Linked DNA regions of Xenopus tropicalis. The protein of the gene in region 2 interacts with the protein of the main gene of each other region in a pairwise test. Links are inferred from orthologs where the notes say so. Each region holds a gene or a part of one and is shown on either strand. Other genes may lie near its edges. The genes, in order: c1qbp and ybx1.

Region 1 (4,294 bases), on a different chromosome or scaffold from region 2:
TATGCTACACAAATGTAATTCAGAGACCAAAAAACTGAAGTTGCCATTGAATTTGATCTAAAACATATTATACTGATCAGAGATTTTTTTTGCTGATACAGTAAAAAATAGCACCAGGCTCCAACTTAAAAATATCCTTGGCCTATGCGCCTAATCAACTTTTGTAGAAAATAGCAGGGGGCACACCTGCATAATATTATATATAATTTGAAGTTCAAAAAATTTAGAAAAGTTCAACTTTACCTCATTCTCCTCAGCTTTCTGACCTTCTTGTGGCTCCTCATTAAAACTTGGTGGAATGCTATTGTTTGTGTTGAAAGTAACTGCAATCCTAATAAGACAAAATATATTTTCCAAGCTTAAGTAATTATAACTGATGCTACTTCAATATGTTTACATAGGATTTCACCAGTCTACCCACCATGCTGATTATATTGATGTATTTGGCCATTAAATGGTTAGCTGGTAATCTATAAGCTGTCACTACACTTAATATATTTTCAGACTCCCAGAAAATAAGTCTTAATGGGATAGAGGCACATTCCAGGTTTTAACAGGAATATATAAACCCTAGTGCTGTTATTCTTTTGTAATGTATGTGCCCACCTGCCTCCTCCAGCTCATCCCTTACTAACTTGCATGGCTTGAAGTTAAACATCTTCATGAGTGACAGCACACTTGGGGAAGGGACAATGTTCTGATAGGCTGGAGGACAAATGTTAACATCTTGCCTACGAGAACATCACCTCATCCCCACAATGCAATGTAAACCAAGAAGGAATAGGAGCAACTTGGCCATCCAGGAATATAGTCAACTTGCACCAATAATCACTTATATTTTGACACCCCTCAGTGATTATGCCTTTTCCTTCCAATTTAATTTTCATTCTCATTTGTTACTGCCTATTGCAAAGGTAAAATTAAGAATCATAAATCAGGTATTATGATAATGTTTCCCCTGAATTCCTTGTCTTGTCTTAAAATATTAGTGGACTATACATGAGCATGTATAGCAGATTATTCTGGTTTTGTGCTTAATGTGAATACATTACAATCGTATTCTACTGCACTTATATCTGAGGTCCAATGTTTAATCACTGAAGCAAGAATATGTTTCTTAACAAAATGCCTCTACATCAACCCAGGAAGATGAATTGGGTCAGTAAAAGAACAAGTCAAAATAAGTAGGTTTTTTTTTTTAAAACTCTGTACAGCCCCCAGAACAACATACCTTTCTCTCATCCAAATTTTAGTTTCCCTATTACAGTCAGTTCAACTACAGCATTTTTAATGACCTCCTTGTCTAGGGGGAAGCCCCCTCCCCTTTTTGCTTTCGGAGCACTCCTCTCTCCGACTATGACCTCATGCCTGATTGATTTTATTGTGTGCAGAGGCAGTGAGCATGCCCAGTAAGCACCTCTTTAAGGTCTTCATAGTGGAAGAGAGGAGAGCTTAGAAAGCTAAACAGGGCAGAGCTTCACATTAGACAAGCAAGTCAGTAAAGGAGATGCAGCTGCTTGTAATACAAAAACAAAATCAATTTTCATGGTTAAAACGTGTGTTATTCTGGGGGCTGTTTAGAGTAATTTTAGGGGATTAAAAAAATAAGGCTTACTTAAGAGGACAATATAATTTTTATCTCAAGTGGCAGATTCATCATATCATTTAACTATATGCTAGGATATAGGCAACCATCATTAGTACACTTACTTTTCACCTGATATTTTTCTGACCAGTTTAGCCTCTGTGCCATTGATGTCTAATTCCCACCCACCAGACATTTTGGGAAGGTTCTTATGTTTCTGGATCTTTCTCTCTTCTTTGATTTCATCTTTGAGAAATTCAGCAAATGCCTTGTCACCTACAATAAATATAAAAAATAAATCAACACATTTTAGGGGGGATTTGAAGCTTATTTTTCAAAACTGTGCATCAGCTTTCAGACTTCTAAAGAAACAACTTGATCATGCACACCTATTACACATTCTATACTACTTTTAAGAATTAAGTCTTTATTTTCTTTGAGAAAACGGGACATAGCAAACGTATCCTGCAAATGTAATTTTTTTTTGTAATAAAGTGAATATATTGTACTTGCCGATAACTTATATGTCTATATCTTACATTTTTATTCATGTTATACTGTTTGCAGTATCTTGTTTGGAATGAGCACTAAGGTAGTATATAAAACAGTTTTGGTTCCATTGGGGATGACTTACAACTCTGAAAGTCACACATGCAACATCATTCAGGAATTACACTAATAAATCATTTCACATCTCAACAATGACACAATAAAATATTTGTAATGTGCATATTCCTGCTTTATCTGGTCCCATAGTATTTTAGGATAATTTAATGTAAAATACCATCTAGGCAAAGGAAACACTGACCCGACAATGTAAAAAATATGTCCAAAATATGACACAAAGCCTGCATACTTGAGAAAGCTCTAGTGAAGAATTACTTGATTCAAAACAATTTACAGAAAGGTTATTTTTCATATATAATGAATCTCATATTCATGAAATAAAATGATTTAAAAAACATTTATATTATAATCTGATATCGAAACAAGCATTAAGAAAAACAAGCATTTTCAGTATGTGGATGTAGGCATACAAATGTCTGGGAGGCAGACGCGAAGAACAGACAAAAAATGTACATCCATGTCCCGAAGAGCTCACAGTTTAGTTGTGGAATGGTACCAAAACCCTGCCTTACATAGCGCACTAATGTAAGGGCCAGGAGAGCACTTACCCTCAGTGTGCAGTCCCCCACAGCCACAGGACACGGCCGGGAAGCCACGTTGAGGATGCAGGAAAGTCTGCCTGAGCCCCGGATTCCCCCCGAGCAAACATAATGAGCGTGAGAAGGATCGTCCGGTGCACAAAGAGCTCAGCAGCTGTTGGGGCCGTACGGCCGCTACCCGTGTGGCGGATAAGAGAGCTCGGGACAGTGTGGAGAACATGGTCCTGCAGATACCCACGTGTGTGTGTGACAAGAGGACACCGTGACACCCCTGACCTTTCACCTCCCGAAAAGGAGGCGGAGCACAGGAAGTGTCGTCAAGGTCTCCTTGGCTACACGCAGAGGTCGCTGTTGATTGCTTCTGTCTGTAAGGAATACGTTCGGAAGAGAAACCTTTGTTGTATATAGACGTTGTATTGTAACGCTTGAAATGAGAAATTAGAATCCAGTGGTTTACTGGTCACATAGACTGGCAGCTTGGAGAAACACAATGCTTGTACTTCTGAAGGGTCATATTTATTATAGTTTTGTGTAAGCCAACATTACCGGAGATGTTACCCTGTAGCAACCAATCAGTAGCTAAAGTAGTAGTTAGAGAACAAAAGCAAAGCTCTGATTGGTTGCTAGGGGCAACATCACTGCTGATGTTGGCGTGCATATTCTGCCCCACTGTGTACACCTGAAAACACCTTGGCTGAAAATAAATACAATAAATAGGACTCGAGCTGAAATGGCATTCTGCATATTGTTTCAGTTTAAAAAAAAATAAAAATCTTATTTTTTGCAGTTATAAAGTATGACTTTGAAATTTGGGTTATTTTTACTCAAATAAGCCGCTCTTTTCTTCTAAACATGGTTGTTTGTTCAAAGCTCTCCTTCTACCTGAACAAACAAACAGCTCCCGTCTGTAAGCAGCTGCCTTTGAGGTATATATCCTAATATGGCTCCTGGTTGTAAAGCCAGTGTACATTCCTCTTACTACACTTTACGGACACTTTAGCAAAATATTGGAACAGCACCATGTATTTGTAGATTGTAAGCTCTTTTGGGCAGGGCCCTCTTCACCTGTTGTATCAGTTATTGATTGCTTCATATTTTACTTTGTATCTCCACTGTATAAAACCCACTTATTGTACAGCGCTGCGGAATATGTTGGCGCTTTATAAATAAATGTTAATAATAATAATGTCATTTTTCAAACTAAAATTACTTTTTTTTTTTTAAAAATTGATAAGATAACATAAAAGTGGGCCCTCTGGTTTAGGGGGGGCCTTATGTGCCAGTGAAATCGGGCTGGTTTAAATTTACTGTGGGATTGAAGACCACATTGGCTTGTCACTGTGGCCCTTGCTCTGACGACTTCTAGTCTTTTCATTGTAATTTAATGATATATAATGATAGAATTAGCCCAATATTGCCCACCTTAGTGCAGTGATCTGCAACCTGTGGCTCGTAAGCAACATGTTGCTCACCGACCCCTTTGATGTTGCTCCCAGTGGCCTTAAAGTTTTACTCCAACCAAAGGCTCCTGCAGGCTTTCAGT
Region 2 (4,401 bases):
ATATTTTGTTTTGTCCATATAACACATAAAGACCTGGCAGGAGAGGACTGTGACCATGGCCTGATGCAGTTGGTGCCTTGCTGCGGAGGTTGTCTCGGCCCATTAAAGGAACAGTAACACCAAAAAATGTATATATTTCAAAGAAATTAAACTATAATGTACTGCTGCCCTGCACTGGTAAAAGTTGTGTGTTTGCTTCAGAAACATTACTAGAGTTTATATAAACCCTGGTGTGTAGCCATGGGGGCAGCCATTCAAAAGAAGAAAAGGCACAGGTTATATAGCAGCTAACAGATAAATCCTGTAGAATACAATGGTGTCTTATCTGTTATCGGCTATGTGCCTGTGCCTTTTCTCCAGCTTGAATGGCTGCCCCCATGGCTACACAGAAGCTTATTTATATAAACTATAGTAGTGTTTCTGAAGCAAACACCCCAGTTTTACCAGCGCAGGGCCACAGTACATTATATTTCAATTACTTTAAAACACTTTCATTTTTTGGTGTTACTGTTCCTTTAATAGACCAGTAATCAGTCAGTGTTGAACCATGAATTGTCAGCTCATACATCATTATTGATCTGACCTAACCAGTCAGAAAGACTAATTCATATTATTTAATTCTCATTTGCTTTTGTGGAGTTTTATTAAAATTATATGAGATAGATTTTAATGTGTCTTAAACTATCACATTTATATTAGTATTTGCGATGTGCATGCTGTTATTGCAGCTATGGAGCATACTGCAAGTTAGGCTGTGCAAGTGTACTGCTGATGTGACTATTCCCGCTATTATTAAAGCCCATTTATAAAACACTAATATACTCTGCTGTGTAATGTATTTGGGAAAATATAAGCAATAAGGCAGAAATTACACCATTGCGAAGAAACAAACAGAAATCAAGACATGAGGTCGGGGGGGCCTGCCCGTTAGACAATCCGAGGATTAGGAAATAAGCAATACGCCATACTTCCATAAAACCTTGGATTTGGACTCAGCGCCATAACAATAGACAGAGTCCGTTGCCTAAGCACAACCCCTTATATGAGTGATCTGGTATCATTACCTTCAGCTCATAAGGGCTGATGTGCCGGGAAACAGCTGAACTAAACACAAGTCAAATATTGAGGTACCTGCCCAATAGTTTATTGCATTTATCCTACCCCCCACACCTTACACTTTATTGATCACTGTTTATATCAGCCTTAGAGCTCAACAGCTACATCCCATCCAATAATGCAGACGCTAGAGGCAGAGACTAATCCCTCCAATCCTGTTATTGACATCTGCCTTAGCCAATAAGATTACAGAAGGAACACATCCAAACAGAGCGCGTCGATTCTTGATTGACAAGCCATTCGACCATACAACTGCAGAGTTTTTTACTAAACCCGTAGACTGACAAGCCAATTGACCAATAGGATAATAGCCAGGGCGGGATGTCTGCGATGATTAACCCGTCTGTAAGGCCATTGCCAGGCAGTTCGATCGGTAGCGGGAGCGGAGAGCGGACAGCAGGGAGCTCGAAAGGCAGCAGCCCCACCGCCGGCCTGAGTTACCATCAACACCCCGGGGGGAAGTTAAAGCGAGCCAACCGCCGGCCCGAGTCACCACCTCCGAAAGCAGCCAACTTACACCATCAAAGACACAATGAGCAGCGAGGTTGAAACACAACAGCAGCAGACAGTCGCATTGGAGGGCAAGGCCGGCCAGGAACCGGCGGCCACCGTGGGGGAGAAGAAGGTCATCGGTAAGTACGATTGAATTAGCATACGAGAGATGCCTCTCGGACACAGGCAGGGCTGGGTATTTGGCGCGTCAGGCTCAATATGACTACTACTCCCAGCATCCCCTGTGCAGTCACGTTGGTTAAGGCGATTACTAGATATTTGCACAAACAGGCGCGGTTATCTGTTTATTTATAGTGTGAGGGAGCGGTTTTCGCTTTTACTATAGGGCGCGGGTGAGTGGCGGTTACACCGACGTGGAGTGTCGTGCCACGCGGAGTTGTTGGTGACGGATCTCTGCCCCCCCCGGCGCCGTGACATCACCCCCCCCCCCGCAGCGCCGTGACATCATCCCTTCCTGTGTCCTGAGAGGAATAGGGCCTGTAACATGTCCGCCGCCGCCTGCGGCCTACACCCCCCCCACCTCCTCTTTTGTATGCCGCCGCGCCTTTGCTGGGTCCCCAGTAGCGCCTCTGGCCTCACGTTTGCTTTGCAAACATACGGGGGAGTGTGAGGGCCGTGATGGCGCTGGGAATTGGCGGCTCCGTGTGTCCCGGCTGCTCGGGTTGCGGCTCTGGCCCGGCTCCAGCCACGTGGTGTGTGAGTAGTTGTGGCACGGAGCTGCTCGTACCGCCTGGGCCTGAGCGGGAGGGGCATGAGAGCCATTTTAGTCTATCTTTGCACTCGGCTTGCTTAGTAGCAGCCTTTATAGCGCTTGGCAATAAACGGGGATTCTGGGAGTTGTAGTTTTTCATTTGAAAAAAAGAATTGACAACACTCTTATGGCCCCAAATAGCAATGTTTGTTTGCTGATGCCTTTAATTGTAATTCCGTGTGTTTATATAGCAGTGAGTGGGAATGCACACAACCAGTTGCATTACTTTCCCTCAGGAAATGTTGCTACCAGGGCCATGGGATAGGGCTTTGTTTTTGTTCCTCTTCCCCCATCCACCCCCATCCATCCTACTCAATGTAATTACTGTATAGCTGTGCCTGGCCCAGTAGCCATTGAAGTTGTATGTCCAGATAGCCATTAAACTAGCAGTGTTTATGTATTGCTTTGGCTTGTATCTCACTGGCTGCTGATCAATAAGTTGCATGTAACTAGTATTTATAATTTCTAATTATTTTTTTTTGTAAAAGTTAGCTTTCCAAACCACCACCCACCCCCTGTGTTTATGGTGCTACTGTGCTGCCAGAAAGTGATTGCTCTATTGTGCATATTAGATTGATCTTGTGCCTCACTCCAAACTAACGATTTTTTATTTTCTTTCAGCAACCAAGGTTTTGGGTACGGTCAAATGGTTTAATGTGCGCAATGGTTACGGCTTCATTAACAGGTGAGTTCATATTTCTGCCCCAACTTAGATTAGTAATTTGGTAAACTTGTTACAGCCTGCCTGACCCTTCGGGGCCATGCACGTGGTACTTCCCATAAATGCTTGTTTTAATATGGTTTAGCAAGTATATATTCCAGGATATGCGGTTAAGCAATACCAGAAGTTACTTAAATTACTTAACACTTGGGGAAGGCATAGTTTAAAAATGTTTTTATAGAGATGGGGAGCTGCTGTATTGCTTGCTTCCTAAGTAGCACTGCCTACCGGTTTCAGCGCTGTACTTCTATGAATGCCTGTGCCAAGAAAATGATCTTTGCCTGTCGCTGTTGTAGAAATTCAGATACACAACAAAAACAGTAATTGCACCCAGTAGCCAGGGCTGGCATGCTTTAATTCAGCTTTCCCTTATCCTTTCGACTGTATCTTAAGATTTTTCTGCTTTTTGAAAGGAAATGTACTTTTTTCACATAAACCAAATAAATCGGTTTGTTAAAAACAATTATATAAGATGGCTTCTTTCCTAAAATGTCAGAAATGAGCTATATGATGTGGGCTTTATGGAGAAAAAAAGGATGCTGGTTGAAATATATTTTCATTTGCCCATTCTTTGTCTAAAGGCAATGCTTTGTGGTTGGTAGAAAAAATGCCTTTCCAGCATTATTCCTATTTTTGTGCTTATGTTGCCTTTAGTGTTTGACCTATACATATAAATTAATTTGCACAGTACAAGCCTTTAATCTATTTTTGTTTTGTTTAGCTTTGTTGTGCTGTGAAAATTTCTACCTTTTGTCGTTAACATTTTGTTTTTATCCTTATAGGAATGACACCAAGGAAGATGTGTTTGTACACCAAGTAAGTATTCCACTTATCTGGGTTTTTTTTACAGATGTCTAGTCCAATCTAGTATAGAAAATGTATTCTATAACTTCTAATATGGTAACTTGTATTTGAGTATAGTGTTGATCAAAGCGGATTGCCTTGGTGTAATAAAAGAATGCATACTGAATAGAAAGTCATGACTGTTCCACAGTTGGATAGGACATTTTCCTACACCTTTTTATATTGCCATGGAACTAGATAGAGCAAAAGCAGATTTAATCAGTTTTCAGCATTTGTTCAGATTTCTTTTAATGTCTTTTTATTTAAAAAAAAAAATATATTTTTTTTAGACTGCCATCAAGAAGAATAACCCTAGGAAGTACCTTCGCAGTGTGGGAGATGGTGAAACTGTTGAGTTTGATGTAGTGGAGGGTGAAAAGGTAAGACTATCAAAAGGGTACGAGGATACGTTTTACACAAGCTACAAGTGTATATTTTTAGTCTTCAACATTTCTGA

Evidence for each region.
Region 1: the proteins of ybx1 (region 2) and c1qbp interact in binary tests that used the Homo sapiens proteins (3 or more experiments, as listed by UniProt). The link is inferred for Xenopus tropicalis from reciprocal best matches to the Homo sapiens genes YBX1 and C1QBP.

Annotation. Positions count from the first base shown.
Region 1 is NC_030678.2:105,097,951-105,102,244, forward strand, and holds the start of c1qbp (complement component 1 Q subcomponent-binding protein, mitochondrial), read right to left. Parts: upstream 3,097-4,294; 5' UTR 2,972-3,096; coding exon 2,761-2,971; intron 1,862-2,760; coding exon 1,711-1,861; intron 332-1,710; coding exon 244-331; intron 1-243.
Region 2 is NC_030683.2:94,733,896-94,738,296, reverse strand, and holds the start of ybx1 (nuclease-sensitive element-binding protein 1), read left to right. Parts: upstream 1-1,493; 5' UTR 1,494-1,648; coding exon 1,649-1,748; intron 1,749-3,001; coding exon 3,002-3,065; intron 3,066-3,883; coding exon 3,884-3,917; intron 3,918-4,234; coding exon 4,235-4,324; intron 4,325-4,401. UniProt on the Homo sapiens protein: DNA- and RNA-binding protein involved in various processes, such as translational repression, RNA stabilization, mRNA splicing, DNA repair and transcription regulation.